Caenorhabditis elegans: one gene and its partners. The protein of the gene in region 1 interacts with the protein of each later gene in a pairwise test. Each region holds a gene or a part of one and is shown in the gene's direction. Other genes may lie near its edges.

What was found.
Region 2: the proteins of elt-7 (region 1) and F25D1.5 interact in a two-hybrid assay, tested with the Caenorhabditis elegans proteins (one large-scale study listed by BioGRID).
Region 3: the proteins of elt-7 (region 1) and C25E10.10 interact in a two-hybrid assay, tested with the Caenorhabditis elegans proteins (one large-scale study listed by BioGRID).
Region 4: the proteins of elt-7 (region 1) and K04A8.1 interact in a two-hybrid assay, tested with the Caenorhabditis elegans proteins (one large-scale study listed by BioGRID).

The regions. Positions count from the first base shown.
Region 1 is NC_003283.11:4,768,501-4,774,461, forward strand, and holds elt-7 (Transcription factor elt-7), read left to right. Parts: upstream 1-2,169; 5' UTR 2,170-2,213; coding exon 2,214-2,335; intron 2,336-3,213; coding exon 3,214-3,499; intron 3,500-3,552; coding exon 3,553-3,638; intron 3,639-4,283; coding exon 4,284-4,386; 3' UTR 4,387-4,586; downstream 4,587-5,961. Other genes in the region: C18G1.9 (FERM domain-containing protein), read right to left, coding at 1-299, 345-463, 1,015-1,111, 1,158-1,195. UniProt on the Caenorhabditis elegans protein: Transcriptional activator that binds to the consensus sequence 5'-[AT]GATA[AG]-3'.
Region 2 is NC_003283.11:10,544,396-10,548,840, reverse strand, and holds F25D1.5 (DeHydrogenases, Short chain), read left to right. Parts: upstream 1-2,057; 5' UTR 2,058-2,088; coding exon 2,089-2,358; intron 2,359-2,401; coding exon 2,402-2,590; intron 2,591-2,637; coding exon 2,638-3,012; 3' UTR 3,013-3,098; downstream 3,099-4,445. Other genes in the region: srd-34 (Serpentine receptor class delta-34), read left to right, coding at 161-198, 246-342, 389-535, 588-787, 834-991, 1,041-1,243; degt-1 (Acid-sensing ion channel 1), read right to left, coding at 3,099-3,220, 3,263-3,354, 3,501-3,592, 3,794-4,228, 4,276-4,367, 4,413-4,445.
Region 3 is NC_003283.11:9,054,257-9,058,744, reverse strand, and holds C25E10.10 (TIL domain-containing protein), read left to right. Parts: upstream 1-2,391; 5' UTR 2,392-2,426; coding exon 2,427-2,429; intron 2,430-2,481; coding exon 2,482-2,539; intron 2,540-2,584; coding exon 2,585-2,657; intron 2,658-2,699; coding exon 2,700-2,776; intron 2,777-2,825; coding exon 2,826-2,911; intron 2,912-2,956; coding exon 2,957-3,053; intron 3,054-3,153; coding exon 3,154-3,269; 3' UTR 3,270-3,419; downstream 3,420-4,488. Other genes in the region: C25E10.16 (Prohormone-3), read left to right, coding at 141-310; C25E10.11 (INSulin related), read left to right, coding at 413-441, 489-538, 849-1,096; Serine protease inhibitor swm-1, read left to right, coding at 3,913-3,915, 3,963-4,011, 4,072-4,142, 4,193-4,477.
Region 4 is NC_003283.11:6,564,474-6,569,922, forward strand, and holds K04A8.1 (Methyltransf_11 domain-containing protein), read left to right. Parts: upstream 1-2,085; 5' UTR 2,086-2,102; coding exon 2,103-2,191; intron 2,192-2,258; coding exon 2,259-2,406; intron 2,407-2,448; coding exon 2,449-2,535; intron 2,536-2,582; coding exon 2,583-2,699; intron 2,700-2,745; coding exon 2,746-2,866; intron 2,867-2,916; coding exon 2,917-3,018; intron 3,019-3,094; coding exon 3,095-3,203; intron 3,204-3,731; coding exon 3,732-3,868; intron 3,869-3,909; coding exon 3,910-4,130; 3' UTR 4,131-4,274; downstream 4,275-5,449.

The DNA.
Region 1 (5,961 bases):
CTCCAGAATAGCATGGGTAGTCAATCTCATGCATCTCGGGCCGCTGAACTTGAATAGCTTCTGGCACAGTGAACGTGTCTCGATGTGGTTTCTTCAAAAATTGGAAGACTGAACCACTTTCCCCTGTCTCTTCAAGATGCTTCTTTTTTAGACTTCCACTGAATCCTCGTCGTCGAGCTGCCATAGCCTTTTCGTGTGTCTCATTGCCATCAACAATTCCGTTAATAAGAACATCGAGGACGCCAAGTGGAAGATGTTGAGGTGTCAAAGGATGCGTGGGTGGGATACAGACGTTCTTGCTAAAAGATGGATTTACTTTTCGATCGCACTAAAATTTCACAAACCTCAAGAAATCGTGAGCAATCTGGACAGTGATTATTGTGCAAGCAGATGAGGGAGTCTTCCGGCCACCATATTTCGATTGAGAATAGCTCAGTGGGAGTGCCCACACGTGGACACGGTTCTGAAAATTATATTTGTTTATGTTACGGTAGTGGGTCTTTTTAGGTATCGTATCCGCAAATGTTCCTCAATTTTTCACTAAAAACACATTTTAGCGCTATGAATTTGGTGAAAGTCTAGAAATAGACGATTACGAAAACTTGTGGTGTACGGTAGCTGAAAGGTTTCAATCGTGCCGAGACCAGGTACAGTATTTCCGCGCACATATTTCTCCATTTCCCCGTACTTTTGGTTTTTTTTTTCAAAAACCCGGAGTTTTAGCGCTATTAATTGCGAAAAGTTGAGCGAAATTGCAAAAGTACAGTGTATTTGTTTCCACTTCTACGACTTCAAAAGAGGGCGCATTCATTCAAAATGGTCTCGTCACGCGCCATTCATTGATTTTTGAAGCGCGTGGCGAGACCAATGGGTGGAGCGTGGCGGGACCATTTTGAATAAATGCGCCCTCCTTTAAAGTCGTAGAAGTGGAAAAAATAAACTGTAGAGGTAATTTTGAAACACATGCGGGTACTGTAGGCACAAAGTTCCGATTATAAAAATCGGGATTCATACCTCAAACACTGCCGATCGGAAATTCGAATTAGCCATCTTATACCAATTTTCTGCAGATTCCTCATTTTGTGTGGTGTAAGTAATTTCGTGTCGAGATCTGTAGCGGTTAACTGAGAACTCGTAATTCTAATACCTTATATTACCTCCGAGTTGTACTCAATCCTGGTCTCGAGACGCACATTGGGGGTTAGTCGGTTAGTTGAGAAGCCGCGAATGCTAGTAATTTGAATAAAAATAATGAATTTAAAATCGCCTCTCACAGTTCTGAATTCTTATCTTTTTCCAAATCTACACTTTTTTTAATAGAAAAATACAGTTTACGTAAAACTACATTCCATGTTGATTTTTCAAGCATTCATTTTAAATAAATTATATGTATTTTAAAAAAAAACACGTTAGAAATAGGCTACCGATAATACAAGAATTAAATTATAAACACTATGCACTCTCACAATCAGTTTATGCCCCTTTTGCACATTACTTCAACTTAAAAAAAAATAATTGCACACTTCCTCCAGGACACAGCATTTCAACTTGGAACAAGATTTCCCATTCGCGACAAATTTGTCCAATTTGCCATTTGTTAAGCTCGGAATACTCTAAAATTTGCCTTGAGTTTAGAAGAAAGAAATGAATGAAATAACACAAAATTTTGTGAGTATCTTTAAAAAAAATTTTTTTTCCAGAATGCTACACTTTTAAAGCTTTTTCGTCAATTTTGTGATCCAAAAAATAGTTTTAAAATATCGAGATTTTCCGGGTTCGCCGACCAGGGCAAATTTGTCAAATTTGCCGGTTTTGCCGGACTCTGCAAATTTTGAGATTTGCCGCACCCCCCCCCCCTCTTTCCCATGTTTCCTTTTTTTGCTCGTCCACTGGCACACAAGGCATAGGTACATGCATCTCTGACTTACCACTAATTTACGACTATCCATAAAAGTCCCAAGTCATATTTACTTTCGTTCTCCTTCCCTTTAAGAACTTTGCCGTCCAGGTTCATAGTCATTATATCATAAACTACTAATGATGGGTGGTGAGCCACACACAGTTCCCCATCACCACCGCCGCCGGTCTATCTTATCACTCTGACCTTTTTTGTCTCTTTCTCTAGGATCTCTCCGGGCTCTTTGTTACTTTCCTGCCTGTAACAAAGACAGACATTTGTGGTTAGAGTTGTCTGCTCTAGTCGACTGGAAAAAATGCTCCCTGAAACTACTACTCTTCAACCACTTCCATCTGTTACGACTATCATGAATGAGCCGCCAGCGAGAAGTCCAATGGAGGACTATTATTTATTTAATCAATTTCAATATAATCAAAAGTAAGTTTTGAAATCAAAACTGTTTTATTGCAGTGCATAAAAATGTTGCATAATGTAATTGTATTATTTTTACGGCAAACTTAAATTGAAATATTCACTATCAACAGAATTATATGGTTTTTACATTACTACCAAAATATTACTTTCCTGTAGTAATGTATACAAAAACAACAACTTTGTTCCAACATGTGACCAAAACTATGTTTTATTGAACTCATGTAGCATAACTGATAAAAATCAATATCGAATGCTCCAAAGTATACTGCTTATAATCAGTAGTTTTCAGTGTTTTTGAGAATAGGAATCTTTGAGAATTATTATATTTTTTAAGGTTTATTATTATAATTTGAGAGTCTGAAAAACGAGTTTCATGCTGGGAATGGCTTAAAGTGTATGACTTAACATGTTTCCTGTTTGGCAATTGTAGGTAATTTCCAACTTTCTCTCAAAGTTTAACAATTTCCTACAAAGCAGTTAAAAAATTCTGTCTACCTTTCGTAACTTTCTTTCAAATGTTAACACTTTTTGCAAAATTTTTGCAACTTTCTGTCAATCTTTGGACATTTTCTGACAACTTTTTGCAACTTTCTGCCAACTTTTGATAGCTTTCTTTTAAAGTTTAACAACTTTTTGCCAACTTTTGGCATCGTCCTGCCAAGCTCTGGCAACTTTTTGACAACATTTGGCAACTTTTTTCCAACTTTTGGCAACTTCTTGCAAAACTTTTGGCAACTTTCTGACAAATTTTAACAACTTTCCGCTTAACTTTTCCTGCCAAATTTTACCAACTGCTTACAAATCTTTTGCCTAGTCTCCTGCACCACAAATGTACTACAAACTCAGCTCAGCTTGAGAGAATAAAAACTCCAACTTTTCAGTCCATATGTCTACCCACCGCAGCCCGTGTACTACAATACTTGGCAAGATGCTTCAACTCATCACTTTGATCCATTCCAGAGTTATCAAATTCCATCTCCATACGAACAACCAATTCAGTCGTCAATGTGTACTACTCCATTACAACCACTTGAAGATTCCAGAATTATTTTTGATGAAAGCTTGACGAAAAATGAAAATGAGCAAAAATCCTTTGTGGAGCAAGATAGCAGTTACGAATCATCTGGAAACCGATTTGGTTCACAGAAGGGAAAGAAAATTGCAAAAGTAGGATTCGAGGGTTTAGAATGAAATAAATATTTCTATATGAAATTTTTCAGGTAATTCGTGATGCGTGCTGCTCACACTGCTCAACAACTACAACCACACTTTGGCGTAAAAATGATGAAGGGAATCTTGAGTGCAAGTAAGTTTATATTTTATTATATTCTTTTATATTATTTCTACCAGGTGTGCGCGGCAACCGATTGTTTTTCTGGCAAGTCGGCAAATCGGCAAACCGGCAATTTGTCGATTTTCCGAATTTGCCGAAAATTTTCGGCAATTTGTGGTTTTGCACATTTTTTTTGGAAATTTCCGAATTTCAATTTTAATCGGCAAAATTGTACGCATCCTATGAATGTTCCTACATCTATTCTGAAAAGTAAGCAAGTTCTGTGAAAATATCTAAAGAAAACGGAGAAAACATTTCAAAAATGCACAGTTTTAAATGTTTCCGTCTTATAAAAAATCCCTCTAAAAACAAAAATCATCAATTCAATTTCCGAAAAATCGGCAAATTGTCGGAAATGAAAATTTCCGGCAAAATGGCAAACCGGCAATTTATCGATTTGCCAAATTTGTTGACAAAAAAATTTGCCGAATGGCACTTGCCGCCTACCCCTGAATTTTTTCGAACATTTAGAACATTTACATTCCAAATCAAAAATTCTCAGTTGAACTTGCTTATAATTTTCGATTATTTTTTAGAATTTCGAATTTAAAATTTTATTAATTTTAATGACTAGTTAAATATACATCATTAGTTCCACTATTAAAGTAATATTTTCAGTGCTTGCAACTTGTATTACCGTCACAACAAAGTGAAACGCCCGTTATCCCTCTGCAAGCAGAAGCCAACTACTCGAAAGCGGCGTCAAGCAAAAAAAGAATAGACAAGTTTGGACTGTATCGCCATTTTTCCAGCATATTACGTATCCCTCTACATCAATTGTACCGTGTTCTATGCGCTGATTTGTATTCGTTTTTTAAAAAAGATTATATATCTATGTCATCTTTTCCACTGATATTACCATATTCAAACATTTGTAATGTCAACTTCATTATTATTTTTCTTAAATAAAACGTTAGAGATACTACTTATACAAATATTGTTACAAATAATAATGTTGAAAGATTCTATGATAAGATGAGAAATTGGTGATATGTGGGATATTAATACAAAAGTGGGCTTTAATGTAGAAATTGAAACGATGAGACCAGGGACAGATGAAACCATCAATTTCTATATTCTGCCAAGCAGCCTCTAATAAATGCCGAGTGTGCAGACTCCGCCCCTCTTTCGCGTTTTTTTGGCTCGCGAAAGAAGGTAACACTACGTTTGGCTTTACAGCGTCACGAAGTTGTCCCAAAGTTGTCACAAAGTTGTCACAAAGTTGTCACGAAGTTGTCACGAAGTTGTCACGAAGTTGTCACGAAGTTGTCACGAAGTTGCCACGAAGTTGTCACGAAGTTGTCACGAAGTTGTCACGAAGTTGGCACGATGTTGTCACGAAGTTGTCACGAAGTTGTCACGAAGTTGTCTCGAAGTTGTCACGAAGTTGTCACGAAGTTGCCACGAAGTTGTCACGAAGTTGTCACGTAATTGTCACGAAGTTGTCACGTAATTGTCACGAAGTTGTCGAACACCAAAGTGCAACTGCGGCGAGCTATGGAAAAGCAAACTCAGTTACAAAGACTTCCTGGAGAACCTAATATCTAAAAATGTCCAAGTTGAGGTCAGAGAGTACAACAATAGAAGGCTAAAAAAGAGTCCCATAGGGAGGAGATGATGATTGAAGTCTCACTGAATGACGAAATTGTGGAAAAGGACTAGTGACTTGTGACCGCAGCAGATTCACCAAGCTGTGTGAGGAGAAATATGTTTTATTGCTCAGGTTTTGTGTGGAATTGTACCAATAAGATTCGAAATACGTGGGTTAAGAAAAATATTTTGTTGTTAGAGAACAATAATTTAATTTGAAAGGCTGCAGAAATTACAAAGAACACTCAAAATGAAAGGAAATTATTTAAATATGGCTTTTTGTGTTTTGGAAAAAAAAAATCCAAATGCATATTGCAAAAAATTTATTTAAGTTCTAAAGATAGAGTATCCCGAGTGATAAGTTATTTTTAAAAAACCAAAAGGTTTTCGATTTCTCAAAATTTTCATTCAAAGTTTGACCAAATATGCCAAAATTTCCTAAAATGGGAATTTTTTTCGAGAAATGTCTAGTATTTTTCGCGCAGTGTCGTTCTGTCCCTATGTATTTTGAACTTTGATCTCTGATCTTTGAACTCTCTTTATTGTAGTTGGGCAGGTTTTGGGTTGGGAGCAGGGCTGAGCAGCCGCCCAAAAAAATCGGCGATCGGCGATCGCCGATCGCCGATGGAAATTTTTTTTATCGGCAATCGGCGATCGCGGATCGCCGAAAAATCACGAAAATCGCCGATTGCCGCTCACCCCTGGT
Region 2 (4,445 bases), 5.8 Mb from region 1:
TCAGACCTTTTACGACACTGTCATATTTCCAATTTATTTTTGGGTTTATTTTGGTTTTACCATGTTCAGTCAAACTTCCGTCGTGCTTTTAGTTGTTTTTAAAACGCCCGTAGTATTCAAAGATTTTCGTGTCTTTCTTGTCAATTCTTCAACTTTACAGTTTTTCATGTGCATAATAGTTGTCTTCACACAAGTCAGGTTAGTTGTACGATAATATTAATTTTTAGCTAACACTGTTCCTTCAGACCTGTGAACAATCCAGAATCGTCAGCATATCTTTTTAGCGGGTTTTGTAGACACACTCATAAAAATGCTTGCTTTTTCAGTTTTGATTTTTTCCAGGTAAGTGTCCTGTAATTGTTATTTTTTACAAATATTCAAAATTCAGTTAGTCTTTGATGCCTCGTCCTTTGCAATTCCTGCTACATTGTTTTACAAATATACAAAAGTAACAAATATTAATATGAAAAACATAACTAAAAATCAAATCAGAATGATTCTTTTAAGCTCTTACCTTCTATCTTTAATTGTGGGGGTGAGTTTTGCTTTTCGTGATTGATCTAGAATGGAAATATGAATGTTTCTAGGTGATCTATGTGATAACGTACGAACCAGACGAATCTCTTGAGGTTGCTTCAGAGACCAGGAAGTTTCATTCAACACAATATGATTTCCGGTACTATGCGGATATCACTGGATATCAAAAACATTTTTGGAGCTGGTTAGCAACAAATTTGAATATGATAAGCATTTTCGTCCCACCAATCATGAGTATTGTGTTTATTAGGTAATAAATTTGAGTTTCGAAGAAATACTTACCAATGTGTTTCCAGACTAATACAAATTAAACTCAACAGTTTAAAACATTTATTTACTGATAAAACTGCTGCTCAAGCCAAGAAGTTTGATCTTGCTTTGACGATTCAGACACTTGTCCCTGCAGTTTGTGTGATTCCTATATACATAGCTCACTTAATACTTGAGAATTATGGTAGGCTCCTGTCCGTTTTTACAGTAAAATAATATGTGACAATTTTCAGACTTGCCGTTTCTCTCAAATTTTGAAAAAGTTCTATATATGATGCTTTCTCTTCCAACAGCTATTGATGCGTTCATTGTTATTGTCACCATCACACCGTACCAAAAAGCCTTTATTGCGTTTTTCAAGGATACGTTTTGTGGCAAAAAAGTTTCACCTGCAATTGTTAGACGTAACAATATTTCGGCTGTTTCCATTTTTTGAGCATTTTGAATAATTGGTAATGATAGTGGTGGACTAATCGGAGTAGTAATCGGAACTTTGCTCAATTGAATAAAATAACATTGTTCAAAGATATTACACAAGCACTTTTATAACAGTAATAAAAAATACCGACAAATGAAAAACATTGTTCGAAGATCTGCAAATAAAAATAACGATGAAAAAATATTTACAGTTCAACATTACACTTTAAAATAAAGTGCCAAAGCTCTCAAACAATTATTGTTAAACAAGTTTTTGGATCTAGAGAGACTATTCACCGTATTTCCTCACCAAATTAATTCATTTTGACGTCTAGTGTCGCACTACGTTTTAACGATACTAGAAATGTGTTATTAAAGCCCTAAGAAAAAGCTTATTGTTTATATTTTGCTAGTTGGCGAATGTCTGACAAAATTAAAAAAACAACCGAAAAATAAGCAGCTAAAGATGGAGAGATGGGTGCAAGACTATTGGACACGGAAATTATTTTTTTTTTAAGCAAATAAAATTTTAAAATTCCTGAAATCATAGTTGTGTTTTCATATTGAAAACTTGATCAATTGATCTTCCCTCAACTGTGCTTGCACAAAAATAGACACAATTCAAAGAGACGCAGAGGAATTAACAGTCACAAAAATTGTTACACTGTCTATGGTCTCTTCGGGAAGTAACTTTGAAAATACTCTCTACGTAAACAGATATTTCATATTTTAGTCACGGAAACTACAAACTTCCATTCAACCATGAAATAATTTTAACTGCAATGAGTATAAAAAGAAAACATTAAACTGCATTTAAACATCACATTCATCTGATTGACATTTTATTTTTGTAATCTCAAAATAATGGCTCGCTTTTCTGGAAAGTCTGTCATTATAACTGGTTCTTCTAATGGAATCGGAAGATCGGCTGCTGTGATTTTTGCAAAGGAAGGAGCTCAAGTTACAATTACTGGAAGAAATGAAGATCGCCTAGAAGAAACCAAACAGCAAATATTGAAAGCAGGAGTTCCAGCTGAGAAGATTAATGCCGTGGTTGCTGATGTTACCGAAGCATCAGGACAAGATGATATCATCAACACGACTCTTGCTAAATTCGGAAAAATTGATATCTTGGTATGTACATAGATAGAAAATGAAATATACTCAATTGTTTTAGGTTAATAATGCTGGTGCCAATTTAGCTGACGGAACAGCTAATACGGATCAACCAGTGGAGTTGTATCAGAAAACATTCAAGTTAAACTTCCAAGCTGTGATCGAAATGACTCAGAAAACAAAGGAACATTTGATAAAGACAAAAGGAGAGATTGTAAATGTTTCCAGTATCGTTGCTGGCCCACAAGCAGTAAGCTTCGGGAGAGAGGATTTCAGAACTTTTGTTTTAATTTTCAGCACTCTGGATATCCATATTATGCTTGCGCAAAAGCTGCGCTTGACCAATACACCAGATGCACTGCAATCGATCTTATTCAACATGGTGTCCGCGTAAATTCTGTCAGCCCTGGAGCAGTTGCCACTGGTTTCATGGGAGCGATGGGTTTACCAGAAACTGCATCTGACAAGCTTTACAGTTTTATTGGCTCACGGAAAGAATGCATTCCTGTTGGGCATTGTGGAAAGCCAGAAGAAATTGCCAATATCATTGTATTCCTGGCTGATAGAAACCTCTCATCTTACATTATTGGACAATCGATTGTTGCTGATGGAGGATCAACTCTTGTTATGGGAATGCAAACACATGATCTTATGTCCGTTCTTAGTCAGTAAACTATAACTTTTTTTTTCAGATTTTGTTAACCATTGTTATCTAATGTAATAGTCGTAAAATACACAATAAAATACATTGAATACTTTTATATAAATTGTGGTTTTAGGAATATATTACTTTTCTTTCGTTCACAAAGAAAAACAAGAGTTTCTGCTGCAGTTAGAAGTGTTGCTCCAACATATAATCCAATGGTTCCTCCAATTTCGGCTGAAAACTTTCAAAGTTACAAGCACATCGAGTAAAACTCACCAAGAAGTAAAAATAAGTTGTAGGATCTTTCTTGAAGAATAGTCTCTTGTTTAAAGTGTGCAAAATAGAACTTGATGTGAAGAAGATTTACTCTGAAAAAAGTTTGTTCCGTTGAAAGTACCAAGTTTAATGTTTATTTGCACGCATACACTCAATTAGAACAAGACGTCACGGCGGCGTCGTTTGCCATCACTGAGCTCACCCTACTCACAACTCAGATTACGCTTAAAAGACTTACACATCATATTGAGGAGTTGGAGAATATGACTGGGCCATCAAAACTTGGTTTCGAAGTCTTGAAAGCCATTCGCCACGGATGAATCGAGTTTTCTTTAAAATATAGAAATTAAAATCAGATCTTGATTTTTAAACTTTGAAATATTTTCTTATTTTATGTATTATTCGATTTTCCCCGTTGATCTTCTATGTATTACATTTTGTTACTATTTATCAAATTTCGAATAAACAAACAAACAAATAAATGTAATTTTTAGGTATTTTGAATATTTCAAAGTCAGTAATTATTCTTGCCTTTAAATTTGGCGCTTTTTCGTGAAGTTCATCCAAACATTTCGAGAAATTTGAAAATTTATCACTGAAACTTTCATCTGCAGCAATTCCTGTCAATACTGCAAACTTTCTTCTACTTTCTGTTGCTGCCAAAAAGGTTTCTGATAATTCATTCGCCAATGCTGGAATATCCGTAACCATAGTTTTTCTTAATTTTAGCATTTCTTCAATTTCCACATGGTCTTTTGCTATTTCTCGATACGATGATTCAAATTCTTTTAAATCAATTTTAAAATCTTTCCATTCACTCATTCGAACTCTTGTTTTTAATATTTGCAGTTTAGCCAACACTTTCTTCATGGCTTCTGTGTAAAGTTTAAATGATTCCGAATTTGGATTTGTTTTTGTATGGACGTTAGATGCTTCAATAAGTGGAGTGTAGCGATTCTTGAAAATCTAAAAATAATTATTATTCTTCAAATCCATGCATTAGTTTGACATACAATTCTGCAATCTTCTGCAATCTCTTCAACTCTCTCCAGATTTTCATACATTTTGGTAACACAGTCTCTTACTTCAGTAATCAGTGGATGGGCTGAAAGTATATGAGGAATAGAACTCTTTGCTTTTGCATGCTTACCCAATCCTAGCACAACTCTTCGAGTGCTTTCAT
Region 3 (4,488 bases), 4.3 Mb from region 1:
TCATGTTTATTGGTTGAAGACAAACTGCAAATAAATTACCAAAAAACACGTAGTTTTCATCACTATGAAATGGGTCATCGAAATAGGCCTAAAATCCATTTTTTTTAAACTATTTTAATCACGGATTTTATTTATTTCAGTACTGGTATCCAAGCCAGACTATATGAACTCGAATGATAAAGACACTCTCTGCCAAGGTATCAATTGTTTTGGAATGAATACTTGCACAATTGTCCGAGTTCCTTGTATAGATGATCCAACCTGCATTAATTATTTACCATTCTGTGATGACTCTCCACTTACAACATAAACCTATAATTATTCAATCCTCGTAAACATTATGAGGTTTTTTTTCGATGGTGCTACCTTAATTTTTTTAAAATTTTCCTTCAACCAATATTTTTTTCTTAAAATGGCATCCTTTCGAGCAATATACATATCGTGAGTTCATTTCGATTATTTTCCAACTTCAATATTTAAACTTCCAGGGTGACTTTAATGTCTATAGTCATCATATATCTCAACTCGTTCGCAAACGGTAAGCATTTCTGTAACAAGATTTATTCGACTGGCCAAATCTGTAGTGATGTTTTATGGCAAACAAGTGAAATATAAATCTTGTATCATTGCAAAAAAGTAACCAATAATAAAACTATTCCAAAAATTTGATTCTTGGATGGTTTTTACTTTCACTTAATTATATTTTCGTTGAACAAATTTTGAATGTTTTTTTTTGTTTGCTCGAAAAACTTCTGATTTAATTTCTGATTGGCTTCAGCTATTACTTATGACTTTATTTTACATTTTCCAAAACACGCAGTTTTACCACGACTAACAAATAATTTCAGAAGACAAACCCAGATTGGCTCGGGAAAACCGTCCCTATACTATTCTCAGTACTCATTTAAATTTGAAAGATTACGATCGGCTTTGTTTGAATGGACCAACAGTGAAATGTTACGGAGAGACAGTTTGCAAAGTTGCAAAAGTAGAATGTCTTCCAAATAAAACATGTGATCCGTTGATGGCAATTTGCTCGGATAAATCTTTCGAGGACTATCAAGACAGAAAATTCAATTATACTTCTTCTCGTTAGGCACATTTCCTTTTATTTTTCGTAGTCACGCAATGCATTTTCCCATGTTTTCCTTTTTGATTGTTTTCATTCACTTCAGTTTATAGAAATGAAGTTACTTTTTCTGTTCTGTTATTTTATATTTCTGGCTAAATATTCACATTCACAACTACCAGATGCATGTGACTTTGTAACATGTTACGGTCAATCCATATGTATTCCTGTGCCTATTCCATGTATTAACAAGCCATGTCCTGTTGGCCCCGCTTGCAAGATTTTTGCATGTCCAGAAGGAAGCAATCCAAGAGATCATTCAAATTGTATTTTGCTAAAAAAATCGACACTGTGATGGAATTTTGTGAATTTCATACAGTGTAATAAATCAATTTTCAAATGTCAGAATAACCAAACGATTTCTAACAAACAATGCCAAAGTTTTTATATATAAGCTTGAGGGAATTGTCAAGAAGTTTGTAGACTTGCCAAAACTTGTACTTGAATAATCAAAAAGTTATTATCTGAAAGCTTCTTTTAAAAAATTTTCGACGGAGCAAACTGTTTTGAGAGCAAACTAACCACATAAACGTGTTTAAAATTATCAATTTTCAATAGGAGACTTCTCATAAATGAATTAGATTTAGGGGTATTGGAATTATTGGAACTGGAAAGTACCGTGTTTTATCTATTAGAATCACACCTATTGTTCGACTTTGGCAGCTGATCAGCGTATCTCAATTGTCGTTTGTTCTAAACAAAGATTGTTAGCTGACAAAATATTTATTGTTTGTTTCTTTTACTATTTTTTTCACAATTTGGAAACAACGTTAAAAATTTTTGAACGGCTGTACACAGTTTTTGAGTATTTTTGCGAGTTATTTTTATGAAGTTTCTGGCTTTTGGAGCTATTTTGAATATATTCAAAGCCCATCCCAGCAGTTAATCTTCTGTTCCAACAGTCTTGAGTTTTTGCTTGTATATAATAAAAATACTCAAATGGGCAACTTTCATAATAAGACTTCTCAAAAAAATTGCATAATTTTTGAGATTTCTCATTACCAAAATTTTGCCTAGGGCGCATTTTGAGTCTATTCAAGCAAAAACCGAAAACAGTTACTTCTTTGTTCTTCTCAGGCGTACTTTCGTAGAAAGTAATTTTGTAAATAACATATTTTTAAACTTAAAAAAACAGCACTCAAGAAATATTCCGGTCGGCTGAACTCTCTCCGGTCTCACCAAGTCATTAATCTTTTGACTCATCCTCGGTCTCACGCCTGTCAATTTTATTTCAATGATTGCTTCCTTCTCATAACTTCCCCACTCCGAAAGTTTCTTCAGAAATTCTTTCATCAAAATGGTGAGTGGTTTTTTCTTCATATCTTACAACAAATGAAAGTGTGTTTTTTCAGAATTTTCAATTATTTATTTTCTTTGCTCTTCTTGCTTTTGCTAGATCTGGAGTTCTTAGTGAGTACCAAGGTTTTATTTAAAAATCAAATGACTTATTTTCAGAAAACACAGAAAACATGCCCATTTCTCACACAGACGCACTCTGTGGTTCTATCAAATGTCCTGATAATTATAGGTTTTAATATTTCCAATTATAAATTTTAAAATATTTTTTCAGATGCGAACTGCCAGTCAGTGACTTGGAATGTGGTTCTGAAGACGATTGTTCAGTTGATCCAAAGTGCGTGCCAATCCGTAAGTGTAGTGAAACCAAAAATATCCAGTGGTTCTTGGAAACTTCCAGCAATCCGCAAACCGGAATGTGAGGGCGATGAAGAGCTCAAGGCGTGTGGCTCAGCGTGTGAACCGACATGTGATAACGAGAATCCAGTAAATCAACGTTGAGATTATGTATGATCATAAATTGTTTCTCAGGAATGTGATTTGGTGTGTATGACAAACGTCTGCCAGTGTAAGAAAGGACTCGTCAGAGACTCGGCAACTGGAAAATGTGTGGAGAAAAATAAATGCAGTAAGCTTCAAAATTTATTACTAGACTTTAACCAATTTAACCATCAGTGATTATTCGCTGAAAACCTGCACATAATACTAGTCATAAATTTTTCATTCAGGCAAATGCACTCTTGAATGCTCTGAGAACGAAAAATGTGAACTTGTGGAGCTGACTTGTGAGGAGAAACCATGCCAAATTGTGGACGTATGTGTTGCACAACATACCACTGAATAATATTTTCGATGATTAAAAAAAAAGTTGTTTTTCTCATATTTTAATATTGATGTTTTCATGCTAATGTTTTCAGAAAATTTAAAAATAACAATATTCGAATTTTAACATAATATTTGTATTCCTTTTCAATAGCCAAAAAACTTATGAACTATTCCGTGTTGCAATACAATGAATACAAAAAGTCAGTGTTAACCAAACAATGTTAAGTTGGTAATTATGGATGAAACACATTCGAAATACTCTCCAGTGAGCCAAGCCAAAACTATTTGCACCAAGCGATACGTTTTAAATTGATATCTTCTAGTGAATTGATTCATTAAAATCATTGGTCGGAATGAAATTTCGTAAGGTTCTCGATTTAATGTGTTTCTGATTTTTTCTGAATTTTCGAATACAAATTCTTCGAGATTTTTAAACCTTTGTTGTGAGCCCAATTTACAAAATAAATACGTGACCGGTGAAAGATAAATTTCTCTCCAAAAGATTGAGAAGACCTATAATATCTCCCATTCGATCTTATCATGTTTCTCGTATCATCCCTTCCGAAAAAAAGGGCGGTTCTGCCGTTTTTTAGTGTTCCGGCACAATAAATAGAGCCGTTAAAAAGCAAAACATCGGTTGGTTGCCCTTCGTTATTGTGAAAATGGTGAGTTTTTGAGTTTTTTTTCTAATATAAAAATTATACACTTACAGAGGATACTTGTCATAATCACATGCATCGTTGCTGTTGCTACCGCCACAAGTAAGTAAATATATGTGATTTGGTACTTGAACGGTTACCAGATCATAAATATTTTTTTAGAAACATGTGAAGCCAATGAGGAGCTGGTATCGTGCCATAATACATGTGAACCACAATGTGGATATACCCCTGTAACAATTAACTTAATGTGTCTCCCATTACTGAAAGTTTCAAAATTTAGAAAGCTTGCACGGAGCAATGTATCATGAACACATGTGACTGTAAAGACGGATTTGTTCGTAATTCTCTTGGAAAATGCGTCGAAGTATCTGAATGCACCAAGGAAACTACAAAATGCCCAGAAAATGAGACATTCTTTGGCTGTGGAACAGCTTGTGAAGCAACTTGTGAGAAACCAAATCCAACAGTTTGCACTAAACAATGTATCGTCAATGTCTGCCAATGCTCCAAAGGTTTCGTTCGTCATGGACTCAGATGCATTGATAAGAAAGATTGTCCAAAATAATTTGTTTTTGA
Region 4 (5,449 bases), 1.8 Mb from region 1:
GTGTACATAATTTTTTACAGTTGTTGCACTAGAAAATTATTGGGACGTCCCAGGACATTGTCACATTTTCGAGTTGAAAACAAATCTGAATACTTACAAATCTAAAATGGTTTGTACTAACTCCCTATGGTTTGTACTAACGCGTACACAGTCTGTGATGTATTTGTTAATAATAAAAATTCCATCTCGTAATATATTCATAACAAATACACATTGCACGACCTTTTGCTCTATTTCCCTAATGTAGCCTATTCTTCCTGTACAGGATGAACATGAAATTCTATTCCAAATACTTTTTTATGTTCACGAAATCGTAATATTTTTTCTGAATCTCAGCTAATATAACATCTACAACTATTGATTTCTCTGCTTTAGCTTGAATAAAATTATAAAATCTCGCGAATCTCAAAAATGAAACAAACATCCAATCTGCCAATTTCACTATTCAATTTTTTGTTTGAAAAAATTTTGAATTTTCAGTGAAATCAGACACTTTGGACGTTTCAATATTTTTACATTGTCCATCAATAATATTTGTGTAACGAATTTGAAAAAAAATGCAACAAAGCACATTACCCTGCTTGTAATAAATCTCCTAATTAATTGTTTAGTTGTGTAAACATGAAACGCATTTTTTTAATTTTTCAGGCGCCCGATATTTTGTTCCATTTAATCATTCAATTTTTCAAATCTTACCCTTTGTTTGAGAACACTTTAATCTGACTACACATCAACATTCTCAAATAAAAATTTACCAAAAACAAAATGATTTTTCTTCAAGAACATCAATTTAATACGGGGAAAACAATCGTCTTTTTAACTGTAAATAGTTAATTTTACTTTTTCAATTAGAAATGTCTCCATAAATATTTTATGAAAATCTCCTTTCTCTGGAGCTATGTATCTCCTCGGACACCCAAGATTAAAAGATGTAATCAGCTAAAAACTTGTTAACTTCTAACCCACGATATTTAATCAATTAAAAGTTGAGGATATCTAGGTTAAGAAACTAGATATATTATTCTTGGACAAAGTAATGACTCATCAGGCTTAACATTCAATGGCTTGATTGCGGTTGTTATCAAAGATACTTTATATTTCTGTCAACTTTTAAATAAATGCCAACTTTTATGCAATCTTTCTGCCTACTATGTAAGTCTGTAAGTATACAAAAAATACTCAATTTTGGTTAGGAGTTGTGTATAAAAAATTCGAAAAGACGAATGAATAGTCTTCAATTCAAGAAAGTACTATTATAAATTTTCAAATGAAAATTTGAGCAAAAATGTTGAATTTTTCCACATCTGCTGCCAGTCAACGTAAAAAATATAGAAATGAATTCTGATTATACATTTATTAAACAGTTTGGTGAAATAGGAAATAAATCGAAAAATAATTGTTTGTAGAAAATGAAAATGAGTGAAGTTAAGAATTTAACAGTAAAAAGAAAAAACCTTTTCAATTTCATCCGTTTGTTTTATTTAGAATGAATAACCACACTCATATTATTAATCTTTTCTCAACGTGTATTCAATATGTATTGTTAATGTAAACAAAAGGGTGTGCCCATTTGAATCTAAAGTATGTTTCATTACACCTTTATCAGTCACTATTTGGCACACCGTCATTATGCGTTAACCCACTTTTCTTCGTTCATTGATTTTCCGCCTTGCTCAAAAGCTCAATGCCACGTTCTAAAAACTGGAGCCCTTGCCAATTAAATCACAAAATATTTCGAATTTTAATTAATAGTTTGTAGATATATATACATCAAGTTCAATCTGAAATTTTCATCAGCAATACAATTTTTGAAAAAAAATTATAGTTCCCTGATGAAATGAAGATTTTTTTCTTAATTTAATGATTTCTTGAAACTTTTTAAAGGCTTTTTTAAAAATAAAGTTTTAGTTATTTGCAATTTTAGTATAAATTGATTAAGAATAAACATCATTCCAGACAATATTCTGGGAATAACTATTTCATTTCTCCGAACTACTCGATTCTTTTATTATTGGTCACAGTTTGATTGCTCAGCAATACAAACAGAACAACTAACCACCAATCATTAGTTGTTTCTCTTTTCAGACAAAGGCTTTCCAAATATGAATAACAGAGCACATCCGTTTTTATGTCCGTCTCGATTTTATCCAATTTTACTCATAGTTGGCTTGTTTCTAATGATAACAATTTTGTGAGTTATTTTCCCCAAACATTAATAGAAAATGTGAAATTAGTTTAATGTTTCCAATTATTTTCAGGTTTTTAAATGATAGTAATTCTGTGCGAAGCTTGAAAAATTCGATCTCGAGGATCAAACTGCCGGATCCATTTCCCGCTGTGAACCTCAAGGAATACAAAATTAAAACTTATAGAGGATATGTATCAATGGATGAATTGAACGAAAATGTAAGTTTTTTTCACATTTCTTGTTTAAAATATTTATTCTAGGTTTTCAAAAAATTTGGTTACGAAATTACTCGGCCCACTTATCCGGTGCCCACAGTTCGGATGATCAACGAGCCAACATGTGAAGAGGTAAATTATCATGAAATATATATTTTTTAATATGAATTTTATTGAAGGTGTTCTTTGCGTGGCAAAAAATCTCCGAGCAACCACAACCAAAATTTCCTCCAAAAACAATTCCGGCAGAGCGAATGAATGAATTCTTATTGTATAACTACACAGCGCTGAGTGATGTATGTGAGAAACAATTTTTTTCAGAAAAAAATTTCTTAATTTCAGTGGTATATCAACGATAAAAACTCAGAAAAAGGAGAGAAGCCAAGAAATTGGGAAAATCTTTCCGAACTCATCAAGTGGCCAAGAGCAAAGTTAGGGGGATTGGCGTATGGATCAGATGGAGGTGGAAACAATTTAATTTTAAATTTCTTCAATAAAAATGGAGTATTTCAGTGTCAATATACGACGCTATGCATGCCTACCGGCTTGATGGAAAGAGTGGTGTTGTTATTGGAAGTATGCAACCATGGGTTGAAGTTTCAGCTCTTCAAAGTGGTTAGTGTTTTGCAAGGCTTCGCATATACATAGATACGCTGCTGTAACAAAAATAAACATAAAAATTATTTTACAGGTGCTTCCAAAGTTCTCACTGTTGAATATAACAAATTGACTATTCAGGAAGAATTCAGGGATAGAATGTCTTCCATTCTTCCTATCGATTTTGTGAAAAATTGGCGGGAGTAAGCTTTTTAAATTAAAAAGATTCAAGAGACTGTAAAAATGTTACTTTAATATTTTGTTCCCAAAATTTAAAAATCGAAAAGATACAGAAACCAGCTCAGGGGCGCGCGGCAATTGCCGATCAGCAATTCTGAAAAATGAGTCAAAGTGGCATTTTTTCCAATAATTTTCATCACAATTTAGGTACAGAATTTAGATAAACATCTATATTCATCTGACAATAGCCCTTATCTTGATAGAAACAAACGGAAAGCCGCTCAAAAATTGTCTGAAAGTTTGAAAAAAAAACATTAGAGAAACTATCGATATTTTTTCAAGCAAATTTTAGACATTTTTGAGCGGGTTTTCAATTATTTATATCAAAACAGAAACCATTATCAAATAAAGCACGTATTTTCTATATTCGGTCACAGAATTGTCATGAAAAATATTCGGGAATCCCGCCACATTGGCTTTTATGCTGATTGGCAAGTGCCGCGCACTTATTAAGTTTGCTAATATGTATTACATAATTGAAACATTTTCAGCTATGCTGGAACGTTTGATTTTGCTGCATCCTTCTCTTCTATAGAGCATTCTGGATTAGGAAGATACGGTGATCCAGTTGATCCGCTTGGTGACTTGAGAGAAATGCTAAAAATCAAATGTGTCTTGAAACCAGGAGGTAATGGAAATATTTTCAACCCAAGAAAACACATTGTTTAGGACTGTTATTCATCGGTTTTCCATTGGGAACGGATTCTATTCAATACAACGCGCATAGAATTTATGGATCAATTCGACTTGCTATGATGATGTACGGTTTCGAATGGCTTGACACATTCTCCGGAGACAAGGAAGAAGCAAATGATCTTACTTCTGATCGACTTCATTCAAAACCCATATTTGGACAGATTCAGAATACATTGGTTTTAAGGAAACTGTAAAAAAAACTGTTTAGCAGTACGTGTGTTTCTATATTACGAGTCTTCTTTTTTTAATTCGCATTGGCGAAACTTCAAAATAAGTTTTATAAAAACTAGCAAATAAGTTTATAAATATGTTTGACAAGAAATAAAATTTGCATTCAGTGAAAGTGTATTACAACACAATTGAAACTCGTGACTGAAGTATAAAATACGAGATAATATGTAACTTAATGTTGTGTCGTGACGACGAGAGAGAATATTAGAATGATCTATTAGTAAACCTGAAGAAGTGCGGAATCATCAAAATACAATAACAGTTAACTTTATTCAAATTTATTGAAAAAATTTAGTTCCATAGACCACCAAATCTAATCTATTTTTTGCTTTAAAAGCGGAAATTGTCGTCCGATAAACCTGAATAAAAGTTTGATAACAAGATAAACTACAAACAAAATAATACATACAATAACAAAAATAGCAAGAGGAATATCAAAAGAATAAAATTGGAAAGTATTTAATAATCTTCCTTCTGAATTCAATGTATCTAATGAACCAAATTGAACAGCAAAGTCACAATGTTTCAGAACCACATCCTTCGGTTTGTGTGGCTGTTCTTCAAGAATTTTGGCAAGGCGTTCTGCGTTGTGCTTGTAATTGACATCATTCAAAACAGTTTGGATAGCTTTTATAATTTCTTCTGGTTTATTCAATAAAGTTTTATCCAATTGAAGGGCACCACCATGTCTTGTGATCATGTGAGCATTTCTTGGTTGATCAGACATTAATGGGATCTGAAAAGTAAAACTTTTAAAAAATGTTTTCAACTTTAGTTGTGGTGTTTTTTATATTTTTCTACATTTAAAATTTCATTATTGCCGTAATATCTCTATTTGTAAGCAAGACTGATTTCCGGTCGCTCCGCAGCGGTGGCAATAATGAAAAATCATTTCCTAACAGTTGAAATGTTTAGAACTCGAAGGCATACATCAGGGCCGAACCTCAACATTTTCGCAAACATTTATTTTTGTTGAAATTATATTTTTGGAAAAAGTATGGTTTTTTTCGTTTACTACTTTTTTTTAGAAAATCTAGTTTTTCTACGCAGAATTAATAGAAAAGTTGAAGTAAGTTTCCTTATACTTCACGACCAACTAAATCATTAAAACTCACAACAACTGCCGGTTTCCCTTGGTAAGCAATCTCCACAGAACTTCCAAGTCCACCGTGAGTTATAAAAAGTGTTAGTCGCTCATCAGCTGCAAATTATATGAGCAAATTTGTAAAAATATAAAAGCTTATAACGATTACTCACCAAGAATATCATTTTGTGGCATCCA